Linked DNA regions of Macaca fascicularis. The protein of the gene in region 3 interacts with the protein of the main gene of each other region in a biochemical or structural test. Links are inferred from orthologs where the notes say so. Each region holds a gene or a part of one and is shown on either strand. Other genes may lie near its edges. The genes, in order: HSP90AA1, CIB1, TERT, PTGES3 and TPP1.

Region 1 (6,280 bases), on a different chromosome or scaffold from region 3:
CGCGCCCGCCGTATTTTTTTTTTTAGTAGAGACGGGGTTTCACCGTGTTAGCCAGGATGGTCTCGATCTCCTGACCTCGTGATCCACCCGTCTCGGCCTCCCAAAGTGCTGGGATTACAGGCTTGAGCCACCGCGCCCGGCCAATGTCCTGTTTATTAACCGAGGCGGGAGAGCTGGAAAGACAGGAAGTTGTGGAAGGAAGGAGGGACATTAAAGGTGGGGCCTGACGGGAAACGGTGGTTCCCAGTGATGCCCAGACCCAGGCAGGGGCTTTGGGGCAGGTTCACTGGAGAAACGGGGAAAAATGAAGGTCCCAAAAACAAAAGACAGACTGTCAGAGCTAGGGCCCGGGATGGCTCTTGTATAAGAAATCTCAAACCCCATTGGCAATGGCAGAAACTGCGGTAGGAAAAGTTCCTACAAGTGAGGAGAGTGGGGACAGTGGCTGGTGGTGACAGGAAGGAAACAGGCGGAGGAGGCACTCGCCAGGGAAGACCTTGCGCCCCTTCAGCAACCTGCTCACCGCCCCGCCTGCTTCCGGATTCCTCCCCGCCGGTCTCGGCTGCAGTGTAGGGAAGGCCTGGGCGGGGGGCGCCCCCCAAGGCTGCGGAACAGCTATCACGGGAGCCGGCACACACCCAGTAACCACCGCTGGGGCCCGCGCCACGTGGCTGCTAGTTTCCATCCACCCCGCTTTGTAATGCTGGGCAAGACGCTTTATGTTGATTTCACACACTCTTAAAGGGTCCCAGGCCGCAGTCTGAAAACCCCTGCTCCTGAATAAGTTGGTTTCCCTAGAGACCAGGAAGCGGAAGTAGTTCCGTCGTTTGTTTACACGGTAAGGAGCTTCCAGATTATTCCCAGGACCTGGCTATGAGTTTAGGCAGGAGGAGGCCCAATCGTGGGAGGCGCCAGAGAGGAAGAGGACATGGACCAGGCATGGGAGCCAAGTCTAAGGATCCCCAACACCTCCAAGGTTCTCATAGCTGGCCTTGACCAAAATATCTGAAAATTCTCATGTAGAAACTGGTTCTTCCAGCCTGAGCAACATGGTGAAACCCCAACTATACAAATAAATACAAAAACTAGCCGGGTGTGGTGTCCGCGCTTGTGGTCCTCCGCCCGCGCTCGTCCCAGTTACTCGGAAAGCTGAGGTGGGAGGATCACCTGAGCCCGGGAGGTCGAAGCTGCGGTGAGCCAAGATTGTGCCACAGCACCCCAGCCTGGGCGACAGAGGGACAGCCTGTCCAAAAACAAAAAAACACCAAACCTGTCTTTTAGGGAAGGTTAATCACCAAAATGTCAAGTGTTAGATACTTAATTTGGAGACCTCAAATCGATCGGCAAAACGATGGGCTTTTAAAAAGCATGCCGGGTGTAGCTGGGTAAGCATGAATTTATTCACCAAGGGCCCGATTCCCAAGCTAAGGGATCCTGAAGTGTGAAGGACATGGCTTCCGGGGAACCCAAAGGTAGGGAGCGCTCCTGAGCCAGCAGTGGGTCTGGAGACTCCCCGAGCGCGCAGGCCGCGGGACGGCGTCCCCTGCGCGCAGCAGCTAGAAGCCAACAGCCCAAAGGCCCCCAGGGAGCAGAGCCCCGCGATCCCGGCGCCGCCTGCGGCTGGGTTTTTTGGCAGCGGGCGCGCCGTCCGTGAGGATGACGGCTCCGGTAGTTTCCCAGGCGTGCGAGACCCGGGGCGCTCCCCGTCCACGCACGGCCCTCCCTCCAGGCGCGCCTCCCGCCCCAGCCCCGCATTCTGCGCAGCCCGGGTGACCAAACTACACCTCACTTCAAAGGCCCCCACGCCCGGGCGTGCCCTCCGCCCGCGCTCGGCAGGTGGGAGTGCAGGGAAGAGAGCGCGGGCGGCCCCAGAAGGCGCCCGGACCTTCCCGAGAATTCCAGGCCGCGCAGGCGCATTGAGGTCGGCGCGGGGGCGTGCGAGAGGCGCGGGGCGGTGATTGAGGGAAGGTTTCCCGGGCTGGGCCACGAGCAGGGCCTGCGCGCGCCAGCGGGAGGGGCGGGCCACGGCGAGGGCGAGGGCGCAGGCGCAGGCGCGCGGCCGCGGCGGCGGTTGGGGAGGGTTCTTCCGGAAGGTTCGGGAGGCTTCTGGAAAAAGCGCCGCGCGCTGGGCGGGCCCGTCGCTATATAAGGCAGGCGCGGGGGCGGCGCGTCAGTTGCTTCAGCGTCTTGGTGCTGCTGTGCGGTGGAACGTTTGCAGCCTTTTAGCCAAGGTGTGAGGGGCGGTTGTGAGGGCCTGTGGAGGTGGATTGGGGAGTGGGGGCGGTTGGCGCGGAGCGGAGGCTGTGGGGGCCGAACGGGAGCCCTGAACCCGCCAGGGCCGCTCTCCCGGGAGGCCGCGCTGCCTATTCCGGAGGCCGTGGGCCCGCTGCTGTCTCCGCAGCCCGCCTCAGGAATGGGCTGGGCGGCTGCTCCCCGAGGCTCCGCGGCAGCCCCGGAGCTGGCGCCGCACGCGAGCAGAGCGGCCCTTTGGCTGGGGGCCCCCCGGGCGGCCCAGCTGGGGCGCAGGCGGAGGAGGCCGCCCTGGCGGAGCCGCGGCCCGCGCGGGAGAGCACACGGGGTGTCGGTTGGGGACCGCGGCGCGGGACTGGGCCGGGCCTGCAGTGGCCTCCCGGAAGCGCGCACACGCTCGTGGTAGTTACCGCGCTCCGAAATGAGGTCATCCTTTGTCAGCCGCCCTTCTATTTTCGGTTTACTTAAACTTCGCAAATCTGCAATCCGGCTTTAAAAATATTGGGAGGACGCGATGGAATCTCGTGTTGCCCCTGTAGACGCTCTGCAGGGTTTTAAACCGGCGCGGTGTCGTTCCAGATGCCTGAGGAAACGCAGACCCAGGACCAACCGATGGAGGAGGAGGAGGTTGAGACGTTCGCCTTTCAGGCAGAAATTGCCCAGTTGATGTCATTGATTATCAATACTTTTTATTCGAACAAAGAGATCTTTCTAAGAGAGCTAATTTCAAATTCATCAGATGTAAGTCGTTTATTAACCCAGAATAGGATTTTGGTTTCAATATGAACTTCTTGGGGGCTGTATGCTTAATTAATATTTTGTGTTAATAGGCATTGGACAAAATCCGCTATGAGAGCTTGACGGATCCCAGTAAATTAGACTCTGGGAAAGAGCTGCATATTAACCTGATACCAAATAAACAAGATCGAACCCTCACTATTGTGGATACTGGAATTGGGATGACCAAGGCTGACTTGATCAATAACCTTGGTACTATCGCCAAGTCTGGGACCAAAGCGTTCATGGAAGCTTTGCAGGCTGGTGCAGATATCTCCATGATTGGCCAGTTCGGTGTTGGTTTTTATTCTGCTTATTTGGTTGCTGAGAAAGTAACTGTGATCACCAAACATAACGATGATGAGCAGTACGCCTGGGAGTCCTCAGCAGGGGGATCATTTACAGTGAGGACAGACACAGGTAGGTACCTGAACACTCACTGGTTAAGTCAGTGGCGGAATGGTGGGGTGTTGCAACCCTTGGACCCCTGGGGATGCGGCGAAGTTCACAGAAAGTGTGTTTACCCAAGGATCAGGAACAAGCTAGAGCTCTGAATTAGTGTGTAATGGCATGACTTGGTGATTACTTCTTTTGGGCAAGGCACTTAGATCTGCTGTGGGAGCCTTTGCATCTGTAGTAAGGGCAAACCTCGCTTCATAGACACGTTATAAGGGTTAAGCATGGCGTTGAGCACTAAATTGAATGTATTATTGAGTCAATTTTCCTTATTTCTCTTGCAGGTGAACCTATGGGTCGTGGAACAAAGGTTATCCTACACCTGAAAGAAGACCAAACTGAGTACTTGGAGGAACGAAGAATAAAGGAGATTGTGAAGAAACATTCTCAGTTTATTGGATATCCCATTACTCTTTTTGTAAGTTTCTACATAATTGCAGAGTGAATTACTGTCTGTAGGTGACTGGGGTGACTGTACTACATCCTTAGTTCCTAGGTCTGTTGAACTAGTCTGAAGCCTGGGGAACCTAAGCTCTACTAACTGTGAAGGTTCCTCGGGTTATTAAGTAGATATATCAAATATTGATGAGAAGCTGCCTGGCTGCTTCTCATCCTCGGTAATTTAGGCTTTGGCCTTAGGTTGAAAGTAGTGGGGCAGCGCTATGACTTAGTTCTAGAGTGCAGCAGTGATGCGATTTCATGTCTTTTGAAGGTGGAGAAGGAACGTGATAAAGAAGTCAGCGATGATGAGGCTGAAGAAAAAGAAGACAAAGAAGAAGAAAAAGAAAAAGAAGAGAAAGAGTCTGAAGACAAACCTGAAATTGAAGATGTTGGTTCTGATGAGGAAGAAGAAGAAAAGAAGGATGGTGACAAGAAGAAGAAAAAGAAGATTAAGGAGAAGTACATCGATCAAGAAGAACTCAACAAAACAAAACCCATCTGGACCAGAAATCCCGACGATATTACTAATGAGGAGTACGGAGAATTCTACAAGAGCTTGACCAATGACTGGGAAGATCACTTGGCAGTGAAGGTGAGTGAGGGACTGATGGATGCTTCAAGCTTGTCTTTAGATTATCATCCCACCACCCCAAATATCTGCTATAATGCATTGTTCATTGATACTTAGTGTGTTTGTTCTATTACAGCATTTTTCAGTTGAAGGGCAGTTGGAATTCAGAGCCCTTCTATTTGTCCCACGACGTGCTCCTTTTGACCTGTTTGAAAACAGAAAGAAAAAGAACAACATCAAATTGTATGTACGCAGAGTTTTCATCATGGATAACTGTGAGGAGCTAATCCCTGAATATCTGAGTAAGTATAGATAGGAAAAATAATCACTGTCACTGATTAAAGAAATACTTCTGGCTGGGCATGGTGGCTCACACCTGTAATCCTAGCAGTTTGGGAACCCGGGGTGTGCGGATCACTTGAGGTCAGGAGTTCAAGACAAGCCTGGCCAACATGGTGAAACTCCATCTCTCCTGAAATTAGAAAAATTTGCCCGATGTGGTGGCAGGCTGAGGCATGAAAATAGCTTGAAAACCCCCCTGGGAGGCAGAGGTTGCTGTGAGCGGAGATTGCACCACTGCCTTCCAGCCTGGGCAACAGAGTGAGACACTGTCTCAAAAATAATCTCCTATCATCTCCAGGTTCTTGTCTTTGCTTTTGGGGGTTTACATAGTACCAGTTTTGTCCTTGGAATGACTCAGTGCATTTGATTTTTATATTTTTTTCAGACTTCATTAGAGGGGTGGTAGACTCAGAGGACCTCCCTCTAAATATATCCCGTGAGATGTTGCAGCAAAGCAAAATTTTGAAAGTTATCAGGAAGAATTTGGTCAAAAAATGCTTAGAACTCTTTACTGAACTGGCGGAAGATAAAGAGAACTACAAGAAGTTCTATGAGCAGTTCTCTAAAAACATAAAGGTTGGTGTAAATATTTGACCATTGGTAGTTTCCCTGCTGGCCTCTTTTTAGATTTCTTTTTGAATTCAGAGAGTCTTTAGTAAAGAACATACTTTGTTTTAGCTTGGAATACATGAAGACTCACAAAATCGGAAGAAGCTTTCAGAGCTGTTAAGGTACTACACATCTGCCTCTGGCGATGAGATGGTTTCTCTCAAGGATTACTGCACCAGAATGAAGGAAAACCAGAAACATATCTATTATATCACAGGTAGGGGGACGCTATGTTACAGTCTATACGTCGTTCTTATAACCTTGTAGGCTCTGTGGGTGTGTTTTCTACTCAGGTAGCACTGTTATAACTGGCGTTGATCTAGGCAAGATAATTAACATGAACTAGGTCATTATTTGTCTTAGGTTCTGCCTAGGTATCTGGCTAGCAAAAGTTAGAAGTAGATGAAGCCATTCTTACTGTTAAAAGGTCTAAAAGTAACTTTGTAATACCTCAGGTGAGACCAAGGACCAGGTAGCTAACTCAGCCTTTGTGGAACGTCTTCGGAAACATGGCTTAGAAGTGATCTATATGATCGAGCCCATTGATGAGTACTGTGTCCAACAGCTAAAAGAATTTGAGGGGAAGACATTAGTGTCAGTCACCAAAGAGGGCTTGGAACTTCCAGAGGATGAAGAAGAGAAAAAGAAACAGGAAGAGAAAAAAACAAAGTTTGAGAACCTCTGCAAAATCATGAAAGACATACTGGAGAAAAAAGTTGAAAAGGTATGTGAATACAGCATTTCCTGATCATTGATACCTCTAGGGTGTTTTCAAGCTTAGTCATACATGACCCATTTTTCTTTGCTTTCAACTTAAAATAGAAAACTATGTCG
Region 2 (6,237 bases), on a different chromosome or scaffold from region 3:
GCTGGCTGGTCAGTGTACAAAATGAATCAGGAAGCAAAATGAAAACCAGAAGGTTGTTCCATGAAGGATTCAGAGTCAAGTGAAGTGGCTGAGAGATCTAGATCATAGCTAGTCACCAGGCACAAAGCTGACTCTCATGTCTTCACTATAAAGAGATACTTATGGCCGGGCACAGTGGCTCACGCCTGTAATCCTAGCACTCTGGGAGGCCAAGACAGGCGGATCACCTGAGGTTGGGAGTTTGAGACCAGCCTGACCAACATGGAGAAACCCCATCTCTACTAAAAATACAAAAGTAGCCAGGTGTGGTGGCGCATGCCTGTAATCCCAGCTATTCAGGAGGCTGAGGCAGGAGAATTTCTTGAACCTGGGAGGCAGAGGTTGCGGTGAGCCAAGATCATGCCATTGAACTCCAGCCTGGGCAACAAGAGTGAAACTCTGTCTCAAAAAAAAAAAAAAAGAGAGAGAGAGAGATACTTACTACCATGCAGTCCAGGTATTCGCCTTGGCTTGTAAGAGGCAAACAAGGTCTATTTAGTACAGGAGACATAATGACAGCTTCCTGCTTTTTGCCTAAGCTTTTACTAACAGAAGACTAACTCCTTCTTGGACAGAAAGAGTCTGCTATTAAGAGAAAAATGATCAGCTTGGGATGAGTCTATACCCTAGGTTTTTTTTTTTTTTTTTTTTGAGAGAGTCTCACTCTGTTGCCCAGGCTGGACTGCAGTGGCACAATCTCTACTCACTGCAGCCTCCAGCTCCCAGGTTCAACCACGCCTGGTTAATTTTTGTATTTTTAGTAGAGACGGGGTATTGCCATGTTGGCCATGCTGGTCTTGAACTCCTGGCCTCAAGTGATCCGCCTGCTTCAGCCTCCCAAAGTGCTGAGATTACAGGCATGAGCCACCACGCCTGGCCTTGAATATTTCTACAGTGATGGAATGTACATATTAATACAGTGGGTCTTATTAAACACATGCTGCCAAGGAGAAGCAATGGGTATTCTTCAAGTGTAAAGTAGATTCCTAGGCAGTCTAGGGAGTCAGGAAAGGCTTCCCTGAGGATAAGATGGAAGAGGGACTGAGGGCCCAACGTGACTGAAACACAGAGAGCCAATAGGAGCAAGTCCAGTTACAGAGGGCCAGGATTTGGGTTTTTAACCATTTAATGATTATAAACTGAGATTAACATGCTCAGATTTAGACTTTACAAAGATCAGCAAGTATAATGGATTGGAAGGATCAAGAATTAATCCCAGCCTGACCAACAACCTCCACTTCCTCCTCCCAGCAGTTTGGAATCCTTACCTTTTGCAGTAGTATACGTTCATTCATTTATTATGCATTCGATAATATTTACTGAAAGCCTACTATGTGCCAAACATTGTTCTAGAGGTTAAGAGGGGACAAGAGCAAACGGGTCAGCAGCCTAGGGGTGAGATGGGGTCAAAAGGACAGCAGGTCAGCTGGAATGAAGACAAGAGCAGTGGAGCGCCTTTAAAGGTGCCTTGGACTGGACCGATCACCTTCTAAATGCCTGAGCCCGGAAAAATCACTAAAACCCTTTGGACTTACGTATTTCCATCTTTGTAAAATGGGAGCCTACCTTGCAAGGGATGTTGCAACAATCGAAGAAAACTATGCACAGTGCTTCACATCCAGTGGGTCCTCAGTAAATAGCCTAAGAATGAAGCAAGGTTATGGTTACTTCTGGAAGAGGTGGCTTGGGGGCTGCGACAGGTGCAGCGATTGCCTGATGATAACATCTAGAAAAGCCCTTGCTGGGCAGAGGGGCAGGCGACGACCTCGGCCACTCAGCGAGTCTCCAGGTTTCCCGGAAACGCTAGCTCCAGTGACTTCTCAGACGCTCCTACGGGACCGCACCCAGGGCAGCCGCCGCCACCACCTACTGCAGCCGAAGCGGATGGACCTCGCGACTTACCCTGCAGCCGCTGCCGGGGCCACAGCGAGGTCACGACTCCCGTGACGCATACGCAGCCAGCACGCACGCGCGCGGCGTGGCCCGCCCCCGCCCACCCCGGAGGCGGGGCCGTGAGTCCTGGGCTCCGCCCCGGAGCGTCGGGCCCCTCCCAGGGCCCCGCCTCCCGCTCGCCAGGGACCGGTCGGAGCCGGCGGCTCGCCTGCCAAACCCGGCTGGGAACGCCTGGGCGCTTTTAGGACGGGGCGGGCCCGGGGGTGGTGGCCCCAGGAGCGGTTGCCGCGGGGACCGGGCAGTGACGCGGCCCAAGGGCGGAAGTGAGAAAGTTGTCTGCGTCTCTAGGCGAGTTGGCGGAGCTGTGCGCGAGGCGGGGAGATGGGGGGCTCGGGCAGTCGCCTGTCCAAGGAGCTGCTGGCCGAGTACCAGGTGCGCGGGACGCCTGGCCCTAGGGAGCTCGTGTGCGGGCCTGTTCCCCGGAGCCGGGTCCGGAGCGGGCTGCGGGGCGGCCGCGGCCTCCCAGCGGTCCCCTAATGCCAGCTCTCGCTTTGCCTTCCAGGACTTGACGTTCCTGACGAAGCAGGAGATCCTCTTGTAAGTGCTGCCTTGAACCCCGCCTGCGACCCCGGGATCCTCTAGAGACAGCTTCGGGGGCGCCGTCCCAAGGGAGGGGCGGGGGCTGGCCTGAGGTCTGCAGAGGACCGGGAGCTGGAGGCCAGGAGACCCAGCCCGGGCTGCGCCCTTCTCCCGGCACGCCCTCCCCGCCCTCGCCTGAGGCCCCAGCGTGGCACCGCGGAGCCACCTCACAGCCTCCAGGAAAAGTTAGGCTCTCTGACCCTGAGCTCCACTAGCTTCAGCACTGCCGAACTTCCTGCCCCAGTCCGGCAGGGGCCGACCTTGCCCGGTGGCTAAACCACAGAAGCCTTGGGGAGCCTGGCTCTTTCTCCCAACTTTACCTGAATAATACAGTAACCGTTATCGCTTTCTGAGCACTCACCATGTGCCAGGGACTGTGCTACATTGTTGCCTGCATTACCTAATTTAATCTTTAGGAGAGAGGTATTGGACAATGAAACAGGTTCAGAAAGGTTTGGTAACTGCTTAAGACAACACTCTTGAGTAAATGGATTTGAACTTGGGCTGGAAGCCCTTTTGCCAGATTTTATGCAGGCCAGGGCACTTTGAGTGAGGAGGTGCCTGGGCTTCCTGCGGCAAAGATAATCTCATGGGAAGGAGGCGGAGGCCGAGGAGGAGGACAGTTCAGGGTGGCTGCTAAAAAGGAGGCTTTGAGGGCAAGAGATCCCTGGAGTGATGGTGAGAATGAGATTTTTGGTTGTGCTCTTTTCTCCCTGTTTTTGTTTTTTTTTTCTCTCTCTCTTTTTTGAGACAGAGTCTCGCTCTGTCACCCAGGCTGGAGTGCTGGGGCACGATCTCGGCTCACTGCAGCCTCTGCCTCTTTGTTCAAGTGATTCTCCTGCCTCAGCCTCCTGAGTAGCTGGGATTACAGGCAACTGCCACCATGCCCAGCTAATTTTTGTATTTTTAGTAGAGAAGGGGTTTCACCATGTTGCTCAGACTGGTCTCAGACTCCTGACCTCAAATGCTCCGCCCGCCTTGGATTCCCAAAGTGCTGGGGTTACAGGTGTGAGCCACCATGCCTGGCCAGTTCTTTAGGGCCAACTTCTGGCCTTTTCCCCAACTCTTCATCCCTCAGGGATCTCTAGAATCAGTGCCCAGCACATAGTAGATGCTCAGTAAATACTTATTGCAAGAAAAGACTCCTAGGCTGTACTGCCTTGTGACATGTCCTTTTGCTTACTGTTGCCTGATGACTCGGAAGTTCTGTGCATGTGGTTTTAGCTCCTCACCTGGTTGATAATGAGCAGCAGGCAAGGAGTGGGAATGAACACACAGGGAAACCGATCGCTGAGAACACCGACAGTTCCCCTCTCTCTACCAGAGCCCACAGGCGGTTTTGTGAGCTGCTTCCCCAGGAGCAGCGGAGCGTGGAGCAGTCACTTCTGGCACAAGTGCCCTTCGAGCAGATTCTCAGCCTTCCAGAGCTCAAGGTGCAAGCGCTTCCCCTCGTTGACACCTCTCCCACCACTCCCTCCCTGCTAGACCCCCTAGCTCCATCTGCCACTAGCTTTGAGATCATGGGGTCACTGGGCCCCATTCTGGTCATTTTTCTGCTTAGTTCTAATTTTCTGGGGACAAGGACTTGACCAAAATCACCTGGCAGAATTATCTAGAATGGTGCTTTTCAAATGGGGATTCTAGAACATAATCTTGGAAGTTCAGAGAAGTTTTATCCCTTAAGAGGAGTTGAGTTACCTTATTAAAGTTTGAGGAACCCTGTTCTAGAGGCTGATTGCCACTCCGTGGGGCTGCTGCAAAATATCTGTGCAAAGGGCCTGGCCCAGTGCCCGTAACACAATAGTTGTTCAATTAAATATTTGTGTTTTAAAATAACCAGCCCATCTCGTTCCCTTTGTTTAGGATGACTTCTTCCCTCTCTGCCCACACTTATGTTGTATGTGACCTGCCTTTGGGTTAAACACTTGACTCCCAGGAAGCCATATCAGTCCTTTCCCTAACTGGGTCAGTTTGCTTTCCTGTGCCCCCACTGCCCTTCATGTTGGCCCCAAAGCACTGATCGTTCACCCCCACGAGCCTGAGCTCCCTGGTGCCGGTCCTGTGACCTGCTCTCTCAAGTTTCTGGTAGGGTTTAATGAGTGTATGACCTGGGCCACATCCTGTGGCGTTTGTTCTCCTAGGCCAACCCCTTCAAGGAGCGAATCTGCAGGGTCTTCTCCACCTCCCCAACCAGAGATAGCCTTAGCTTTGAGGACTTCCTGGACCTCCTCAGTGTGTTCAGTGACACAGCCACGCCGGACATCAAGTCCCATTATGCCTTCCGCATCTTCGGTGAGAACCAGGAGCAGCCCGGCAGGACACCACCCCTTCCCACATGGGCTTTGTGGTGGCCCTGCTTGGGAAATGGCGTGCTTGTGGAACCTCAGAGCCCCTCCCAACCGTGTCTTTTGGCTTCCTGTGTCTGTTCTCTAGACTTTGATGATGATGGAACCTTGAACAGAGAAGACCTGAGCCGGCTGGTGAACTGCCTCACGGGAGAGGGCGAGGACACACGGCTTAGTGCATCTGAGATGAAGCAGCTCATCGACAATGTGAGCAGCTGAACAGGCCCTGCCCCAGCTGGGCCTGGGAGTGGGAGGGAGGGGTTGGGGCTCTGGCCTGAAACTCTCCCTTTCCCAGATCCTGGAGGAGTCTGACATTGACAGGGATGGAACCATCAACCTCTCTGAGTTCCAGCACGTCATCTCCCGTTCTCCAGACTTTGCCAGGTATGACAGTGGTGCCCCTGCATTCTGGGTACCTGCAGGTCCCGATTTGCTGCCTCTGGGCCTAGGACATTGCTACAGGAGGTGGTGCCAGGGTGAGAGAAAGCCCCAGTCCATACACACAGGGCCGGCTAAGCTGCCAGTCTCTCCCCGGGCAGGGGCAGCCCTCCTTGTCAAGGCCTCTCCCCTTGCCACTGCCATTGTCATTGCTCTGTGTTTGTACTAATTAGTAATAACGGTTTAGAAGCTCTGACCCTGTGTGTGGGTCCAGAAAGCTCCCTCTGGATGTCTCAGGGAGTTCTTCCAGTGTGGGCTGACACACGGGACACAGTTCGTTCCAAAGAAGGGTCTAAAGGGAGAAGGGGGGTCAAGTTTGGGTTTAGTCCCTACCCTCCTCTTCCAGCAGAAAACCCACCCCTTTTCTCTTGTTCAGCTCCTTTAAGATTGTCCTGTGACAGCAGCCCCAGCGTGTGTCCTGGCACCCTGTCCAAGAACCTTTCTACTGCTGAGCTGTGGCCAAGATCAAGCCTGTGTTGCCAGCGCAGACCACGCTGGCCCAGCCTGGAGCTGGCACTGTGCAGCCTCACCCCGGGCAGGGGTAGCCCTCCTTGTCAGGGCCTCTCCTCACTACCATTGTCATTGCTCCGTTTGTGTTTGTACTAATCAGTAATAAAGGTTTAGAAGTTTGACCCTGTGTGTGATATGAGATACATGGTGTGAGGAAGGACTGGACTTCTCTTCTAGGAGCCTTCGATCATCCTAGGAATAAGCAGCATATCGAGCAGGGGCCAGTGGGAAGTCAAGCCACACCCGTGCTGGCTGTCCCCGTGGGAGGGTGTGAGGATGAAGGGGCAGCAGGAGGGGTGGTACTCTCCTGTATCCTGATTGGGGTGGTGGTTAGATGAGTCTCTGCAGGTGTCAAGATGTAAAGAACCGTACA
Region 3 (5,743 bases):
GGTGAACTTCCCTGTGGAAGACGAGGCCCTGGGTGGCGCAGCTTTTGTCCAGCTGCCGGCGCACGGCCTGTTCCCCTGGTGCGGACTGCTGCTGGACACCCGGACCCTGGAGGTGCAGAGCGACTACTCCAGGTGAGCACACCTGGCCGGAAGCGGAGCCTGTGCCCGGCAGGGACAGATGGTGCTGCAGGGACGTCCCGTCCACCCCTGCTTCCGTGTGGGGCAGGCGACTGCCAATCCCAAAGGGTCGGAGGCCACAGGGTGCCCCTCGTCCCATCCAGGGCTGAGCAGAAATGCGTCTTTCTGTGGGAGTGAGGGTGTCACAAGGGGAGAGGTTTTCTGTGCTATTTTTGTAAAAGGAAATTGTGCACCAGACCTGGGAACACTGAGGTGTCCTCAGAGAGCAATCTGGATCTGAACCCGAGACGCCCGGGCCCTGCTGGGTGTGAGTCTCTCCAAACCCGAGACACTGGGGCCCTGCTGGGCTTGAGTCTCTGCGAACCTGAGACACTGGGGCCCTGCTGGACGTGAGTCTCTCCACTGTGAGGCCCACACTCCGAGGCTCATCCACAGTCTACATGATGCCATGAGTTCATGATCACGTGTGACGCATCAGGGGACAGGGCTGTGGTGTGTGGGGGTCTCTACAAAAATCTGGGGTCTCATTTCTCCTGAGCCTGAGAGCTCATGGCCCCACCTCAGGCTCAGACACAGATGGATTGAAGATGGACACAGATGCAGAAATCTGTGCTGTTTCTCACCATTCCAGGCTAGGCGCGGTGGCTCACACCTGTAATCCCAGCATTTTGGGAGGCCGAGATGGGTGGATCACTTGAGGCCAGGAGTTTGAGACCAACCTAGCCAACATAGTGAAACTCCGTTTCTACTTAAAAAGTACAAAAATTAGCCTGGCATGGTGGCGCACGCCTGTAGTCTCAGCTATGCGGGAGGCTGAGGCAGGAGAATCACTGAGGCTCAGGAGAGGTTGAGAATCATTGAGAATCAGGAGAGGTTGCAGTGAGCTGAGATCACACCACTGTACTCCAGCCTGGGCAACAGAGCGAGACTTCACCTTAAAAAAAGGCAAAAAGTATCAGCATTCCAAAACCATGGTGGACAGGTGCTTTTTATTCTGTCCTTCAATAATATCCACTGGTGCTGTGCTAGAGGCCGGAACTGGGGGTGCCTTCCTCTAAAAGGCACGGCTTCATGGGAAGAGAAATAAGGGATTTTTAAATCCCTTACTGGATGATTGTTAAACCAGTGGTTTAAACTGGGGTCCTGTCATTCTGAGTTAACAGTCCGGATCTGGACTTTGCCTCTTTCCAGAATGCTCCCTGGGGTTTGCTTAACAGGGAAGCAGCAGGTGCGGACACCCTCATGTTGGGGGAGTGGCAGGTGTAGATGCCCTCGTGCATGGTGCCCAGCACATCCCTGCTGCAGCTCCCTCCCCACCAGGACACCGGTCCCCTGTGCTCCCCACAGTCCCTGTTTCCCCCTCCCAGCCTCACCTGATCCTGGCCTCTGCTGGCTTTGTCTGGGTGATTTGCAGATTTCCTGGGCTCCCGGCACCTCCTTGCCTCTCCCTAGGCGCCTCTGCAGCACTGGCCATACCATCAGCCGTGAACTGTCCACTGTTTATTTTGCTCCCCATGAAATGTATTTTTTAGGACAGGCACCCCTGGTTCCGGCCTATGGCACAGCATCAGTGAATGTTACTGAAGGACAAAGCAGACAGACAAACGAATCAGGAAAATGGGTTCTCTCTGAACACATTGCAAAGCCACAAAGGCTAGTGCAGGATGGGTGGGCATCAGGTCGTCAGATGTGGGTTCAATGCCAGAATATTCTGTGCTCCCAAAGGCCACTTGGTCAGAGTGCCTGCTTGCAGAGGTGGTTGTAAAAGCTCAGCAGTAGAGGCAGTGGTTCGCCGCACTCGGGGTGAACACACGTCCTCTGTGTCTGAAGCATACAAAGGCTTGAAGGGCATCTGGGAGAAGAAAACAGGCAAGATGATTAAGAAAAGTGAAAAAGGAAGAGTGTTAAGATGGGAATTTTCTTGTCCAGATTTTAGTCTCCCAAACCACAGCTTAGATGGCAGAATGTGGTGAGAAGTGATGGACAGTACAATAGAACAAAACGGAAGCCCTACCTCTCAGAAACGTGTGTTAAATGTGGCATGTGGCACAGCTGACGGAAAAGAGAGTGTGTGTTTAATTTTGTTTTCTGAGAAAACTGACTGGAAGCAAATAAGTTGTGTCTTTACAACATGTACCAGAGCAGATTCTAGGTAGAAGAGGAATGACGTGCAAACAACAGCAGCAACAGAAACAAAACGGAAGACTCAAAGGGAAGGGAGGTGAACGTTCCCTGATTTGGTGTTGGGGAAGGACACGGAGGGAGGTAGATGAAACCAGTGAGGCAACAGCTATTGCTTTCACGCAGAGGAACTCAGCTTGCCTGAGCCGCAGTGAAAATGGCTGTTCCCTGGAGCATTTGTGCACATGATTTATTTAAGGCACTCTGTGAGGTCCTGCACATTCATCCTCTCACTTTGTTCTCCTAACCACCTGAGAGGTAGATGAAGAAGGCCTCCAGGGTAGCACCCAGCTGGCAAGGGGCGTGTGTGATTGCAGCCTGGCCTGCTGCTCTGGGGCCCTTGCTCCGCCTGAGGACCCCACACAGGTCAGACCCACAGGCTCGGGGCTAGCCGGAGCCCAAGGTTGTGTTGGTGACAACTGTGAAGGAAGAAATGGACATCTGATGCACACTTGGGAAGGTTCTACCAGCAGCATCAAAGAAATGCGTGTGAAACTGACAGCGAGACCCGTCCTTTGTGCTGGCTCCTTTTCTGGGCTTCCCAAGAGCCAGCATCAGGGTGAGGCAAGTTGGAAAGACTTTTCTGGAAAGCAGCTTGTTTGCATGGAAGTCCTTACAATGTCCTGTGTTTTCCCAGTAATTCCACTTCTGAAGTGACCAGACATTATCACGGGTCTTATTTCCCATTTCCAGTGCTCCAGGTATGGGGGAGGGGGGGATTGCCACAGCAAGTCGCCAACCCGCCCAAATCCAGGGCTAAGCAGATACTATGTATCACAAAACTTAACTCTGCTGTTAGACATGTTTTCAAAGAATTTTTGAAGAATGTTTAATGGCACAAAACGTTTATTTCAATGTAGCAGTGTTCAAAGCTGGATGTAAAAGAACGCAGCCCAGGGAGCCCGCTGTGGATGTCACGTGTGTTCGTCTTTGGACACGGATGTACACGGGCAGTGAGTGGTGGCAGGGCCCTAGAGGACGTCGGTGGGATGCCTCCATCCTGCCCCTCTGGAGATACCCTGTGTGTGCCACGTGCACTCACTGGAGCCCTCTTTAGCTGGCGCCACCTGGCTCTTCCATCCATGAGATTCAAACACAGTGAGATTCCCCATGCCCGACTCAGTGTTCTCCCACAGAGAAGCTGAGTCACACCCGTGTCCGCTCGAGGGACGCCTGGGAGTCAGGGCTCCATAGTTTATTATGTATTTTTGGCCGAGTTATGTGCAGATCTCATCAGGGCAGATGATGAGTGCACACACACGGCCGTGCAAGGCTTGGATACACTCAACATCACTAGCCACGTCCTGGTGGAGTCTGGCCATGCAGGGTCCGGATGGCGTGTAGCGTTTTGAGTCCACGGAGAGAGCACCCGACTCCCTCAGGCTACAGCGCGTGCCCCAGGCAGGACAAGGAAGCAGGAGGAAGGCAGGAGGCTCTTTGGAGCAAGCTTTGCAGGAGGGGGCTGGGTGTGGGGCAGGCACCCGTGTCTGACGTCCCCCCTGTGTCTCAGCTACGCCCGGACCTCCATCAGAGCCAGTCTCACCTTCAACCGTGGCTTCAAGGCCGGGAGGAACATGCGTCGCAAACTCTTTGGGGTCTTGCGGCTGAAGTGTCACAGCCTGTTTCTGGATTTGCAGGTGAGCAGGCTGACGGTCAGCACAGAGTTCAGAGTTCGAGAGGCATGTGTGTTACTGTGTGCACGCATGTGTACGTGTGTGTGTGCGTGCCTGCAAGGCTGACGGTGACTGGCTGCACATAAGAGTGCACATGTGCGCAGATGCACGCGAGCCATACGTGTGTGTGTACATGAAGGCATGGCAGTGTGTGCACAGGTGTGCAAGGGCACAAGTATGAATGTGCACATGCAAATGCATACCTGATGTGCATGTGTGTTCATGTGCATTCGTGTGGGATTCATGTGAGGTGCATGCGTGTGGGTGTGCGGTGTGAGTAGCATGTGTGCACATAACCTGTATCAAGGGCCCCTCATGTTCACCCTGCTAGGTCCTCAGCACCAGCGCCCCTCCTTACAGGGTGAGATGGGGTGGATCCCCACAGGAGAGGGGGAGTGGATGCCCACAGGAGAGGGGGAGTGGACACGGACGCCCACAGGAGAGGGGAGTGGACATGGACGCCCACAGGAGAGGGGAGTGGACACGGACGCCCACAGGAGAGGGGGAGTGGACACGGACGCCCACAGGAGAGGGGAGTGGACACGGACGCCCACAGGAGAGGGGAGTGGACACGGACGCCCACAGGAGAGGGGGAGTGGACGTGGACGCCCACAGGAGAGGGGGAGTGGACACGGATGCCCACAGGAGAGGGGGAGTGGACGCCCACAGGAGAGGGGAGTGGATGCAAATGCCCACAGGAGAGGGGAGTGGACGCCCACAGGAGAGGGGGAGTGGATGCCCACAGGAGAGGGGAGTGAACACCCACAGGAGAGGGAGTGGATGCAGATGTCCAGACGGGACAATGCTCTCAGGACTGCAACTTCAGAGCCACAGCCCACTGGGGCCTGGGACCCTGTCTCACCCTATAAGGAGGGGTGCTGGTGCTGAGGACCTATCAGGGTGAACATGAGGGGCCCTCGATACAGGTTATGTGCACACATGCTACTCACACTGCACACCTACATGCATGCACCTCACGTGAATGCCGCATGACTGCACACGAACACATGCATGTCAGGTATACATTTGCATGTGCACATTCATACTTGTGCCCTTGCACACCTGTGTACACACTGCCATGCCTTCACTCCCCCTCTCCTGTGAGGGTCCACATCCACTTCCCCTCTCCTGTGGGCGTCCACTCCCCTCTCCTGTGGGCATCTGTGTCCACTCCCCTCTCCTATGGGCATCTGTGTCCACTCCCCTCTCCTGTGGGCATCTGCGTTCACTCCCTCTCCTGGTGCCTTCCCTTTTTGGCCAAGCCTCGGAGGCAGGCAGACGACAGGGAGTCCTGACTCCCCCAGGGTGGTTGACAGCTGCCGGGTGAGGGTCAGGCCGGATTTCACTGGCGAGAGGGATGGTTTCTTGTCAAAATGTTCCTCTTTCTTGTGCCATCTGAATGGATGATAAAGTAAAAAGTAAAAACTTAAAATCCCAGAGAGGTTTCTGCCGTTTCTCACTCTTTCCTGGCGATTCTAGGTGAACAGCCTCCAGACAGTGTGCACCAACGTCTACAAGATCCTCCTGCTGCAGGCCTACAGGTGAGCCGCCACCAAGGGGGCGCAGGCCCAGCCTCCAGGGACCCGCCGCGCTCTGCTCGCCTCTGACTGGGGGCTACACCTGGGTTTTAGGGGCAAGGAGTGTCTTATGTTTTCAGCGGTGCTGCTGCCTCTGCCCTGTTCTGTGTTCGCGTGGCTCTGTGCAAAGCGCCTGTTCTCCGTCTCTGGGTAGTGCTAGGAACCGACGTGGCC
Region 4 (5,786 bases), on a different chromosome or scaffold from region 3:
GCCATTCTCCTGCCTCAGCCTCCCGAGTAGCTGGGACTACAGGCGCCTGCCACCGCGCCTGGTTAATTTTCTGTATTTTTAGTAGAGACGGGGTTTCACTGTGGGTCTCAATCTCCTGACCTCGTGATCCACCCGCCTTGGCCTCCCAAAGTGCTGAGATTACAGGAGTGAGCCACCTCGCCTGGCTATTTTTTTTTTTTTTTTTTTTGAGGCGGAGTTGCACTCTTGTTGCCCGGGATGGAGTGCAATGGCACTATCTCAGTTCACTCCAGCCTCCACCTCGTAGGTTCAAGGAATTCTCCTGCCTCAGCGTCCCAAGTAGCTGGGATTACAGGCTCCGATCACCACGCCCGGCTAATTTTTGTATTTTTAGTGGAGACAGGGTTTCACCATGTTGGCCAGGCTAGCCTCGAACTTCTGACCTCAAGTAATCTACCCACCTTGGCCTCCCGAAGTGCTGGGATTACAGGCATGAGCCACCGAACCTGACCATGCCCAGCTATCTTTTAACAGACTTTTACGTGCATGATACAGTATTGTTAACTATAGGCATAATGCTGTACAGTAGGTCTCTGGAACTATGCATTTTGTGTAACTGGAACTTCATACCTATTTAACAGTAGCAAGTCTGCATTTTCCCTTCCCTCCAACTCCTGGCAGCTACCATTCTCTCTATTTTTGTGTGTCTGTCTTAGGTATCTCATATAATCTTAGGTATCTTATATAAGTGGAATCATGCAGTATTTGTCCCTGACTGGCTTATTTCACATAACATGACATGCTTCAGATTCTTCATTGTGTTTTGTCACATAAGGCAGATTTTTTTCTTTTAAGGCTGAATAATCCCTACTTTTAGGATGAACACATTCCATTGTATGTTTGACTAATCTTTTTAAGGTTCCTTCCAGGCTGGGTGTGGTGGCTCACACCTGTAATCCCAGCAGTTTGGGAGGCCAGAGGCGGGCGGATCACCAGGTCAGGAGATGAAGACCATCCTGGCTAACACAGTGAAACTCTTATCTACTACTAAATATACAAAAAAATTAGTTGGGCGTGGTGGCAGGTACCTGTAATCCCAGCTACTGGGAAGGCTGAGGCAGGAGAATGGCGTGAACCCGGGAGGCAGAGCTTGCAGTGAGCCGAGATCACGCCACTGCACTCCAGCTTGGGTGACTGAGTGATACTCTATCTCAAGAAAAGAAAAAAGGTCCCTTCCAATTCTAAAATCTGAGTGATCATGTATTTTTGAAATCTGATTTTTTTCCATGCATATGTGATTTTATTTTTCTAAAATATAAACATTACAGAAATGGTTTAAACTTGAGAAAATAAGTTTCTCATCATCTGATAATAGTTTAGGTTTAAATCATTTATTGGTTCTTCACAATATCTAAAACCTTTTCTTTAGGGAAAATTTAGTTTTAATTTCCGTATAGGTTTTTAGAATTTTGTGTAATTGCTTATAATCTTCCTTTTCCAGAAGGGAAGATGCTTACATTTATTTTGCATTTTTCATTTGTGGATATCCGTGGCAGACCTAAGGTTTATTCTGAAGCATACAGCATTAATAATTAGGGCCTAACTTAACATCATTTTTAAAACTAATTTTTACACTTCAAATAGATGATGAACAACATGGGTGGTGATGAGGATGTAGATTTACCAGAAGTAGATGGAGCAGATGATGTAAGTCTAAAAGTTTTTTTCTGTTTACTTTCATACTATTAAATAGTAAACAACATATTTACAAATGGTTTTATATAGATTCAGGATTACTACTTTTCTAAAAAAAAAAAAATAAAGGGAAAAGCAATTTTTAAAATGTGCCCATTTTTGAGGAATGGGTATCTATTAGGGAACTGGTTTTGCCGTAGACCATTCCTAAATGGATCGCATTTCCAAAGAATAATTGTATAGAGACATTATGTAGTAATACCTTACTCAATTATAACAGTCGGTTCAGGCCGGTCGAGGTGGCTCACGTCTGTAATCCCAGCAGGCCGAGGTGGGTGGATTACCCGAGGTCAGGAGTTCGAGACCAGCCTGGTCAACATGGTGAAACCCTGTCTCTACAAAAATTAGCCAGGCATGATGGCAGGTGCCTGTAATCCCAGCTACTGGGGAGGCTGAGGTAGGAGAATCGCTTGAACGAGGGAGGCGGAGGTTGCAGTGAGCCAAGATCACACCATTGCACTCTAGCCTGGTCAGCAAAGCAAGGCTCCATCTCAAGGAAAAAAAAAAAAAAAAAAGTCAGTTTATAGGGATTATTTTGACTAAGAAAGTAAATTAAATAGGTTTTATGTCAGGATTGGTCAGAGACTGATGAAACAGATGGATATTGGGAGGTGGAGACGGGTGGATCAGAGTTTGAGGCCAGCCTGGCCAAGATAGTGAAACCCTGTCTCTACTAAAAATACAAAAATTAGCTGGGCACGGTGGCGGGTGCCTGTAATCCCAGCTACTTGGGAGGCTGAGGCAGGAGAATCGCTTGAACCCGGGAGGCGGAGGTTGCAGTGAGCCAAGATCTCGCCACTGCACTCTAGCCTGGGCGACAGAGCAGGACTCCATCTCCAAAAACCAAAACAAAACAGATGGACATTGTAAATCTGTAAGAGGAGGATGAGGATATAATAAACAACTATTCTCAACATCTTGTCAACCCCAGCATCCTGTTAACATCTCCCAGAAAGTTATTTAATGCTATTTAGAAAAATATATAATATTCACTCAACAGCTAGGATTAGAGTTCACTGTCTTCTGTCAATCTATTTTTCTTCATATTGATCCATGTTTTCTCTTGAATGCTGACATAGGTTAATTTAGGAATGGATTCAAAGGGTGGGCTAAACTGTCACCAAAAGGTGCACACTATTTTTTACAGGTAGATAGATCCTCTGCTGTACATCCATTCACCTTAGGTTAAACCTAGTCTTAAGTCCAATGACTAAATTTCTAGGCTTGGTATAACTACCTACCTGTGCTACTTTAGTCAAAAATAATAGCGCTTGAACTATTCAGGTAAACTCAAGTATTTGATCAGTTTGGTAACTTTATTTTCCCTCTTTCAGGATTCACAAGACAGTGATGATGAAAGTAAGTGTATGTAAAAAGTATGTTTACACAGTGATATTTTGCATCAAAAACCAAACTCAAAATAGAGATGTTAACTTCTTTTGAAAAAAAGTAATTTTTTCTTTATGACCTTGAATAAATAACTAAAACAGAAATGTGAATAACTTAAGATAGCAAGACAACCTATTAATTTACTGGGGAACTGTATAATTCAATTTTTGGTTGCTTTTCCTTTAAGATATTAAAATTGGTAGATTATTCCCATGTACTTTATACTAATATTTTTTACAATTCTTTCAGAAATGCCAGATCTGGAGTAAGGAGTATTGTCATCACTTGGATTTTGAGAAAGAAAAATAACTTCTCTGCAAGATTTCATAATTGAGAGAATTCCTGAGTTGATAGCTCTAAAGGCAGATGCTGTATTTGCCTACTTTAACCCATTTTTCAACCTGTTTGTTTTTTAAAAGGCTTCACTAAGGGTTGATATGTACCATTGTATGGGGCAATTTTAAGTCAGCTAAGGCAATAACCTTATGCATGAACATTTCCCAGACTTTCATGAAGCTGTTGAGGTCCTAAGCAATTGATGCAGCTGTTGTGATAAATAGAAACATCTCACCTAAGTCTCCTTTTCTTCATAACATAGATACTGACATGATAGGAAGCTCTCAGCTTAGGGAAAGATAACTAAATTTTAGATTATAGAACATGGATTCAAAAGTGGCTGGAACAAATTGGCTGACACCTTACTGGTAACCTGCTGTTCTCCTGGTGTTCCTTCAGGATTGTTCCACTAAAATTTATTTTTCAAAAAATTTACTTCATATGATTCTATGTAAGTGATCACTTGTCAGTGTTCCAGGTGTATCTTAGCTAAAACTAGAGAATGCCCTAACTTAGATGGTTTTTGAAGCCTATACATTTGGTATTGTTTGACCCTTAAGCTTTTACATCTCTTAGCATGGAGGACGAAGAAAGCTGTACATTGTTGCTTGAGAGTCTGTACATTTAGACCAGATTTGTATTTGCACTGTCAAGTATGGCAAATGAGTGAAAAATGTTTAATACACTATTGGATTTTTTATTTCTTTTTTTGATTCAGCTTATACCAGGGCTGAAAACCTCAATTTATGTTCATGACAGTGGGGATTTTTTTAAATGTCTACATTCTTTCTAATAAACTGTTGGAAGACTTCTTGGCTGTCCTTTTAAGTGTCTGGCTTACTGTAATTTTTATGTATTTACCATTTACTGGAATGGAGTTATTTTTATTTGAGGAAGAATTTGGGATTATTCCTCTGTTTGAAAAAAAGAGGCTTGCTGTAATGTCACAGGAAACCTTTTAAAAGTGGATCTGTAATAGAATATTGTAGATGCACTTTGCAGCAGTTGGAAAAGAAAGTGTTGTGATTTGATTGAAATAAAACTAAATGTGTTGTCCTCCTCTAAATCTTTGAACTTCTGCATTTTGGAAGTTTTCATTCCCTCACAGCTTCTGTAGTTGTCATAACATAGAAACACTATGTCCCAGCTACTCGGGAGGCTGAGGCAGGAGAATGGCGGGAACCCAGGAGGCGGAGCTTGCAGTGAGCTGAGATCCGGCCACAGCACTCCAGCCTGGGCGACAGAGCGAGACTCAGCTCAAAAAAAAAAAAAAAAAAAAAGACTATGTATTTCAGCACTTTTTTACGTCGGATATTCAGGACCTGTGTTGCAGGCAGTTAAAGTGCTGGTGATACAAAGAATATTTCAGATGATTGCTGAGCTCAGAGAGCTCACAGGCTAGGCTGGGGGAACAAACGAGACAAAAACTTGATAGGAAGTGTGATAATAGATATGCATAGTGCATTACGATATGTAGTTCTTCAGTGGGGAAAACATTTTAAAAACTTGTTTGATTTTCTTGAAAAAATTCATACGTCACTTTTGGAAATGAATGATTCGTTGGCTTACCGCCCAGCCTTGAAACTATGCCATTATACAGGCCAGGCACGGTAGCTCCCACCTGCCTGTAATAGCACTCTGGGAGACAGGCAGGTGGATTGCTTCAGACCAGCCTGGGCAAGGTGAAACCCCAATTTTTTTTTTTTTTTTTTTTTTTTTTTTTTGGAAGACGGAGTCTCCCCTGTCACCCAGGCTGGAGTGCAAGGGTGCAATCTCCGTCTCCCAGGTTCAATCAATTATCCTGCCTCAGCCGCCTGACTAGCTGGGATTACAGGCGCACACGACGATGCCCAGCTAATTTTTTTTTTTATGTTTGGTAGAGCTGGGTTTTCACCATGTTGGCTAGGCTGGTCTCAAACTCCCGCCTGCCTTGGCCTCCCAAAGTGCTGGGATTATAGGCATAAGCCACCACGCCCAACCTGCGAATCCCTATTTTCACAAAAAAATTAGCTGGGTGTGATGGCGCATTCCTGTAATCCCACCTACTGTGGAAGCTGAGGTGGGAGGATCAATGGAACCCGGGCCATTGGGGATGCAATGAGCCAAGATTGCACCACGAACTTTTTTGTAGACAGAAGTTTCTCCAAAAAAAAAAAAGGCTGGGCATGGTGGCTCACGCCTGTAATCCCAGCACTTTGGGAGGCTGAGGCAGGAGGATCACCTAAGGTCAGGAGTTCAAAACCAGCCTGGCCAACATCATGAAACCCCTTCTCTATCAATAATACAAAAAAATTAGCCGGGTGTGGTGTCATGCGCCTGTAATCCCA
Region 5 (6,479 bases), on a different chromosome or scaffold from region 3:
TTGGACCCAGCTCCTTTGGGTTCCACTGACGCCCCTGCCCCTGCCCCTGCCCAGAACCAAGTGCCAATTCTCACTCTGGAGCCTTAATAAACTGCAATTTGTATCCAGTCTCCAGCTTTGTTCTATAGGGATGACTGGAAGACACCTGGCAGAGTATTGTGGATACCTCAGGAGGCACAGAGGGGTGGTGGGGTGGGGATGGCACTGGGAGCTCAGGAGCCTAGCCTGAGGCTGATGATCACATCTCTCTGCAGCTAATCTTTTCCTTCTAATATGGGCAAGAGGCCAGCAGGGCCTTGAGAGGGATCAGTTGGGTGTGAAAGGGGATCTTGGGGATGACCAGCTCTAGGCCCGAAATTCTTTTTTAAAAATAAGTCGGGGTGGGTACAAGAGCAGTCAAGGGGTTTATTTGTTTTTCTTGGGGCCACTAAATATCCACATTGTAATAATAGCTCAATTTGTTGAGCCTTTGTCATGTCAGGCTTTCTGCAGGTGGCTGTCTTGCTTCATCTCAGTGTAAATTTTCACAGTCATACAAAGGGATTTGGGAACCACTGGTGTAGACCATTCTTTGGGGGAGCCAGGCTGTGAGGGAAAGGCGATTGGCCAATATTTGAGAAGTTCATGGGACTGAGGAAATTAGAAAAAAAAAATAAAGTGGTCAAAGAGAAATGTTTCTGAGCATGATGCTAGTAAATACAGCTCTAGGATCCAAGCTTAGTGGGAAACTGGAGGGATCAATGGACAGGAGGAAGTCAGATTAATAGGAGTAAGGAAAAACAATAGCTTGAAAAAACAGAAGGTTATAGTCTAAGAAAGGATTCTATAATTATAATTTCAAAGGTAGAGCAGTTTTGAGAGATAGCAAGCCCAAGTGTAGCCATGGGACTGGTTTGCTTCAGTGAAGTGAAGGTAATGCTCCTTGGGTTTAATGAGATGAAGAAATGGAAGGTTAGGGTGTTGAATGGGTCTTTTACCTAGATAATTTGATCATCTAGGTCAAATGATCGCAGGAATTGGGATGGAGAGAAAAGTGAAGTGCCGTAATCTTCAGCGTGGGAATATGATCTATAGGTTATGGATGTCAGTGGCCTGTAGGAAAACAGCAAGAGTAGAGGGATCTATCTAAAAAGTATTGAGGTCAGAACAAGGGATTTTACATGAGTATAGGATTAATGGTTTTAGAAGTTAAAATGACACTGCTGACACCATCTTCCATATGGATTTTTTGGGGAAAAAAATACTTAAGAAGACTGGAAGGGAACTGAATCCTCAGGGTTTTAACTCTCATTGAAAATCTTCTTGTAATGACCCCAATTCGAAGCAGTAAACTCAGACCTTGTGGGCTTTGAGTTACCATTAGAAAGAAGCAAAGGTCTGTTTCCATTTTAGTCACCTGAGCCCACTAAACAAGATGCAAGATTCCTCCGTGGCTCTTGGAACAAAGTTGATTTCCTTGAAAACCTTGGGACCCGTAATAAACAGGACCCCAGCTGATTTTAGATCTCCTGGGAAGCGACTTAAAACTGGAAACGGATTTGAATAAAAGGATCCTGATCTTGCAAAAGCTCTACTCTGTTCATAAATGTAGTCCTAAAATGAACACAAAATTGATAATATGGAGACATAAAGGAGGAAAAAATTTTTTCACTGCAATATTTTCAAGGCAGATCACTTTTATGTAAGTCTCCATATTGTAAATGCAGAAACCTAGGCTCTGAGAGGTTATTTTGCTGATATCATATAGCTAGGAAGAACCCCGGTCTGTGGGTCTCTAGAGCCTACTCACTTGTGGTGATTCCCAGGGGACCAAGCTCAGGCTGCAGGTGGGGAGCACTGGGCTTACTCAGCGCTTGACTGGCCAGAGGGGAGAATCCGAGTGGCGGCACCACCCTTGCCTAGCATTCAGGACCACCCACGCAAGGGAGGAGCCAGCACCGTCACTAGTTACTAGGCAGAGGGTTGGTGGTGGACTATAGGGTTCATGTGATCTGTCACATGACAGCAGATCTGCGGAAGGGCAGAATGGGACTCCAAGCCTGGTGAGAAATTGAGAGGGCTGGGGAGAAAGGGATCACGTTGGGGGGAGCATACATTGGGAGGGTGGGAACACAAGGACAATGTAGCTCCCACTGAAACCCACCTGCTGCCCTTACAGCCTCCTAGGGCTCTTTGCCCTCATCCTCTCTGGCAAATGCAGTTACAGCCCGGAGCCCGACCAGCGGAGAACGTGAGTTGACTTAGCACAGACCACCCCCTTCCCCATACCCTGTTCTGCCTCTCACTGTCCTGGTCCTAGCTTCTCTCACCCCCATGCCAGCTCCTAGTACACACTCCATAGTTTCATCTCTAGGTTCCTAGGCTCAGTCCCCTGTCATTCACCTCATGTGATCTGTATCTGCTCCTAGGATCCTACCCAAGGTCTCAGCTCCTAATCTGGAACCTTCCATGACCAATATTTTTCATCTCTACCCTAACCAAAGCCATGTCCCTGACCCCTGACCCTACAGGCTGCCCCCAGGCTGGGTGTCCTTGGGCCGTGCGGACCCTGAGGAAGAGCTGAGTCTCACCTTTGCCTTGAGACAGCAGAACCTGGAAAGACTCTCGGAGCTGGTGCAGGCTGTGTCAGATCCCAACTCTCCTCAATACGGTGCCTTTTGGGACTGAGGACAGGATGTGGGATGCAGTGGAGGGACACAGGGCTGGGTTGGGCATGGGATGGTGATCATGTCAGGGCCTGACAAGACACTTGTGTTCCTCAGGCTAGAAACCTAAAAGGGGATGTGGTTCAGCATATAGGCTTTATGATCAAACATGAACTCAAATTCTGACTCTGCTACTTACTAGCTACCAGGCAAACGGGAAAATAGCATCTAGTACAACTTAAGTTCCTTCCCCTACCCTTGAATCCATTCTAATTTCTTCTGTTCACATACTAAGGCTGCCAGTTCTAACTCCCAAAGAGCCTTTGGATTAGTTTACTTCTTGCTGTCCTTTGTTACTACCAACTCATTTATTCCCACTCCTGGACTACTGCCCAGCTCCCCAGCTGATCTGCAGTCTCCCTCCACCCCACCCCTCACTGTACTCCCCCACTCTGCTTCAAAAGTCTCTCCAACAGTCAGAATGGATTGGTTCCTTCTCCTGGTTAAAGCCCTTCACAGCAGGGGGAGTGTGCACATGTGAACTGCAGAGGCTGGGGACAGGGCAGTGTGACACTAGTATGCATGGCAGGAAACAGTGACTCACCATCGTGTTAAGCTTAAAATCAACAAGTATGCAAATTTGAGCTAAACTGGATAACTAGTGCCAAGAGATTTGAAAACATTTACTGGACATAAGCTTAAGATTAAAATGGAAAATTTATATGTATTAATCTCATTGATTTTCATGATCATGGCAATACATGCTGTGGTGTGACATTTGCAACTTACTGGCCTTTAGGGTAAATCCATATTCTTGGCCATGGCATTTCAAGTCTCTCCAGCCTTTTCTTCTTCTGCTCCCCAAGTACAACCTACACCTGCACGCACAACCCTCCTTTACCCTGATCCAGGCTTTGGGAAGTCCTGATGTCTCATAGTCGAGGTCCAAAACGGGGAGTTTGGGAAAGCAACGAATGAGGGCAAGTGCCGCTTCTGAATCCCTGCAGGAAAATACTTGACCCTAGAGAATGTGGCTGATCTGGTGAGGCCATCCCCACTGACCCTCCACACGGTGCAAAAATGGCTCTTGGCAGCCGGAGCCCAGAAGTGCCATTCTGTGATCACACAGGACTTTCTGACTTGCTGGCTGAGCATCCGGTGAGAGGAAATGATTTCTCCATGGAGGGCACCAGTCATCCCCTCAGTGAGATGGATGGGAGGGAGCTGAGAGCTTGCTGGGGCTTGTGGGTGGGAGCTGATGCATGGGGAGACAGTGACTGACTGCCCAGGGATGCTCAGAGGCAGCTTCTTCTGTTCTGTTTTGAGCTTTCTGACCTCTGTTTTCTGACCTCCAGGCAAGCAGAGCTGCTACTCCCTGGGGCTGAGTTTCATCACTATGTGGGAGGACCTACAGAGACCCATGTTGTAAGGTCCCCACGTCCCTACCAGCTTCCACAGGCCTTGGCCCCCCATGTGGACTTTGGTAACACCTATGGGGTGAATGAGGGTTGGGGCAGACAGATCCAGGGGCTGGGGAAGTTTAGATGCCTTTGGAGACTGAGGGTAGGGTGAGTAGTAAGGTGGGCATTACAGTCTATAAGATCTCCTCAAGCCTGACTTCTCCCTACAGTGGGGGGACTGCACCGTTTTCCCCCAACATCATCCCTGAGGCAACGTCCTGAGCCGCAGGTGACAGGGACTGTAGGCCTGCATTTGGGGGTGACCCCCTCTGTGATCCGTAAGCGATATAACTTGACCTCACAAGACGTGGGCTCTGGCACCAGCAATAACAGCCAAGCCTGTGCCCAGGTGAGCCAAGCAAAGAGCCCCAGGGTCCTCAGTGCCTTGCCACACTGGGACTCACCCTCAGACCCACGACCTCTGCTCTGACTCCCTCCATAGTTCCTGGAGCAGTATTTCCATGACTCAGACCTGGCTCAGTTCATGCGCCTCTTCGGTGGCAACTTTGCACATCAGGCATCAGTAACCCGTGTGGTTGGACAACAGGGCCGGGGCCGGGCCGGGATTGAGGCCAGTCTAGATGTGCAGTACCTGATGAGTGCTGGCGCCAACATCTCCACCTGGGTCTACAGTAGCCCTGGTACTGCCAAGAGGACTGGACGGTGGGGAAGAGGGTGGGAGATGGGTATTGATCCCTGCCCCCTCAAGGGAATGCTGTAAGCTGGAGAGAGATCCTGACAACCCCCAATGACTATCTTTGTGCCCATCCCTCAAACAAAAATAATAATCCAGGCCGGCATGAGGGACAGGAGCCCTTCCTGCAGTGGCTCATGCTGCTCAGTAACGAGTCAGCCCTGCCACATGTGCATACTGTGAGCTATGGAGATGAGGAGGACTCCCTCAGCAGTGCCTACATCCAGCGGGTCAACACGGAGCTCATGAAGGCTGCTGCTCGGGGTCTCACCCTGCTCTTCGCCTCAGGTGACCTCCTACCCTAAACTTAGACAACGCTTCCACCCCTGCAACCTGGGAGCTTTGACCCCACAGTGACCCCTGAGCCTGGTCTCTGACTCATAATCTGAACTTAGACCTTCCAACAGGGACCACTGACCTAACCTCTACACTCTGACCTCCTGCAGTAACAGCTGACACATAAATTTCCTCTCTGACATCTGAACCCACATACTAAGCCCTGACCAATTAATATGAGTGCTACACTTGGTCTCTCTTAGGTGACAGTGGGGCCGGGTGTTGGTCTGTCTCTGGAAGACACCAGTTCCGCCCTACCTTCCCTGCCTCCAGGTAAGTACTCTAGCCTACCACTCAAGTATAACCACCACCTTTCACTTGTGATCTCATGATGTAGAACCTTTGTCTTGACCCCACCATGTGCTCCTGTGGTTCAGCCTTAAGCTTTGCCTGCCCTGGTTGCTGCACTCCTGTCTCTTCTTCCTGTAGGTCCCAGGCCCCAAATCTCTTGTGTGGGATACAGCTCCCATTGTTCCTTTTCTTCAGTCCCCAGGCATTTTAGTGGAAGATTTGGTGGATGTTCTGTAGAGAAACGTGTGCACAGTCACCTCGGACCATGCCTTGAAGGCTCAAAATCTCTTAGTCAATCCTATGTAGATGCTTCCCCATAGAGTCTAGTTCCTCCAGCAAGATCTGGGCTATACTCACCCCTCCCCACATATCTTGGAGGTCCCCTTGGGTCCCCTACTATCTGAATGCTGTCTTCTCCCCTCAGCCCCTATGTCACCACAGTGGGAGGCACATCCTTCCAGGAACCTTTCCTCATCACAAATGAAATTGTTGACTATATCAGTGGTGGTGGCTTCAGCAATGTGTTCCCACGGCCTTCATACCAGGTACATGTGTTTATGTGCATAGATGCAGGGTAAGAGTGAGGATGGGGGATCCTCAGTTCAGCTGACTGCTGGGCAGGCCACATGCCAATACTCACTCAAAAATGCCTTTCAGGAGGAAGCTGTAGCCAAGTTCCTGAGCTCTAGCCCCCACCTTCCACCATCCAGTTACTTCAATGCCAGTGGCCGTGCCTATCCAGATGTGGCTGCACTTTCTGATGGCTACTGGGTGGTCAGCAACAGAGTGCCCATTCCATGGGTGTCCGGAACCTCGGTGAGAATCAGCCCATCTCCAAACTCTCACTCAGGAACTACCCTTACCCCCTAACACCTTGAGTACCTTGCATCCAGAACCCCTGACTCCTTAGAGATGTCTGATACTTTAAACCATCACCGTCAAAAAGTCCAGTCACTCTGAACCCCTGACCTTTACTTGCACCTTCACTCTTGCAGGCCTCTACTCCAGTGTTTGGGGGGCTCCTATCCTTGATCAATGAGCACAGAATCCTCA

Evidence for each region.
Region 1: the proteins of TERT (region 3) and HSP90AA1 form a complex in vitro, tested with the Homo sapiens proteins (2 studies listed by BioGRID). The link is inferred for Macaca fascicularis from reciprocal best matches to the Homo sapiens genes TERT and HSP90AA1.
Region 2: the proteins of TERT (region 3) and CIB1 form a complex in vitro, tested with the Homo sapiens proteins (2 studies listed by BioGRID). The link is inferred for Macaca fascicularis from reciprocal best matches to the Homo sapiens genes TERT and CIB1.
Region 4: the proteins of TERT (region 3) and PTGES3 form a complex in vitro, tested with the Homo sapiens proteins (2 studies listed by BioGRID). The link is inferred for Macaca fascicularis from reciprocal best matches to the Homo sapiens genes TERT and PTGES3.
Region 5: the proteins of TERT (region 3) and TPP1 form a complex in vitro, tested with the Homo sapiens proteins (2 studies listed by BioGRID and IntAct). The link is inferred for Macaca fascicularis from reciprocal best matches to the Homo sapiens genes TERT and TPP1.

Annotation. Positions count from the first base shown.
Region 1 is NC_088381.1:170,186,386-170,192,665, reverse strand, and holds the start of HSP90AA1 (heat shock protein HSP 90-alpha), read left to right. Parts: upstream 1-2,172; 5' UTR 2,173-2,231; intron 2,232-2,829; coding exon 2,830-2,991; intron 2,992-3,080; coding exon 3,081-3,447; intron 3,448-3,767; coding exon 3,768-3,901; intron 3,902-4,195; coding exon 4,196-4,516; intron 4,517-4,631; coding exon 4,632-4,797; intron 4,798-5,222; coding exon 5,223-5,413; intron 5,414-5,515; coding exon 5,516-5,663; intron 5,664-5,901; coding exon 5,902-6,170; intron 6,171-6,280. UniProt on the Homo sapiens protein: Molecular chaperone that promotes the maturation, structural maintenance and proper regulation of specific target proteins involved for instance in cell cycle control and signal transduction.
Region 2 is NC_088381.1:74,709,103-74,715,339, reverse strand, and holds CIB1 (calcium and integrin-binding protein 1), read left to right. Parts: upstream 1-2,257; 5' UTR 2,258-2,313; coding exon 2,314-2,364; intron 2,365-2,494; coding exon 2,495-2,529; intron 2,530-3,895; coding exon 3,896-4,004; intron 4,005-4,712; coding exon 4,713-4,863; intron 4,864-5,004; coding exon 5,005-5,123; intron 5,124-5,211; coding exon 5,212-5,300; intron 5,301-5,730; coding exon 5,731-5,752; 3' UTR 5,753-5,986; downstream 5,987-6,237. UniProt on the Homo sapiens protein: Calcium-binding protein that plays a role in the regulation of numerous cellular processes, such as cell differentiation, cell division, cell proliferation, cell migration, thrombosis, angiogenesis, cardiac hypertrophy and apoptosis.
Region 3 is NC_088380.1:1,608,179-1,613,921, reverse strand, and holds part of TERT (telomerase reverse transcriptase), read left to right. Parts: coding exon 1-132; intron 133-3,829; coding exon 3,830-3,956; intron 3,957-5,471; coding exon 5,472-5,533; intron 5,534-5,743. UniProt on the Homo sapiens protein: Telomerase is a ribonucleoprotein enzyme essential for the replication of chromosome termini in most eukaryotes. Active in progenitor and cancer cells. Inactive, or very low activity, in normal somatic cells.
Region 4 is NC_088385.1:63,469,421-63,475,206, reverse strand, and holds the end of PTGES3 (prostaglandin E synthase 3), read left to right. Parts: intron 1-1,623; coding exon 1,624-1,686; intron 1,687-3,068; coding exon 3,069-3,093; intron 3,094-3,372; coding exon 3,373-3,392; 3' UTR 3,393-4,525; downstream 4,526-5,786. UniProt on the Homo sapiens protein: Cytosolic prostaglandin synthase that catalyzes the oxidoreduction of prostaglandin endoperoxide H2 (PGH2) to prostaglandin E2 (PGE2).
Region 5 is NC_088388.1:59,458,995-59,465,473, forward strand, and holds the start of TPP1 (tripeptidyl-peptidase 1), read left to right. Parts: upstream 1-2,003; 5' UTR 2,004-2,025; coding exon 2,026-2,042; intron 2,043-2,158; coding exon 2,159-2,230; intron 2,231-2,510; coding exon 2,511-2,650; intron 2,651-3,652; coding exon 3,653-3,803; intron 3,804-4,000; coding exon 4,001-4,128; intron 4,129-4,275; coding exon 4,276-4,454; intron 4,455-4,547; coding exon 4,548-4,746; intron 4,747-4,898; coding exon 4,899-5,087; intron 5,088-5,338; coding exon 5,339-5,408; intron 5,409-5,850; coding exon 5,851-5,971; intron 5,972-6,083; coding exon 6,084-6,242; intron 6,243-6,421; coding exon 6,422-6,479. UniProt on the Homo sapiens protein: Lysosomal serine protease with tripeptidyl-peptidase I activity. May act as a non-specific lysosomal peptidase which generates tripeptides from the breakdown products produced by lysosomal proteinases. Requires substrates with an unsubstituted N-terminus.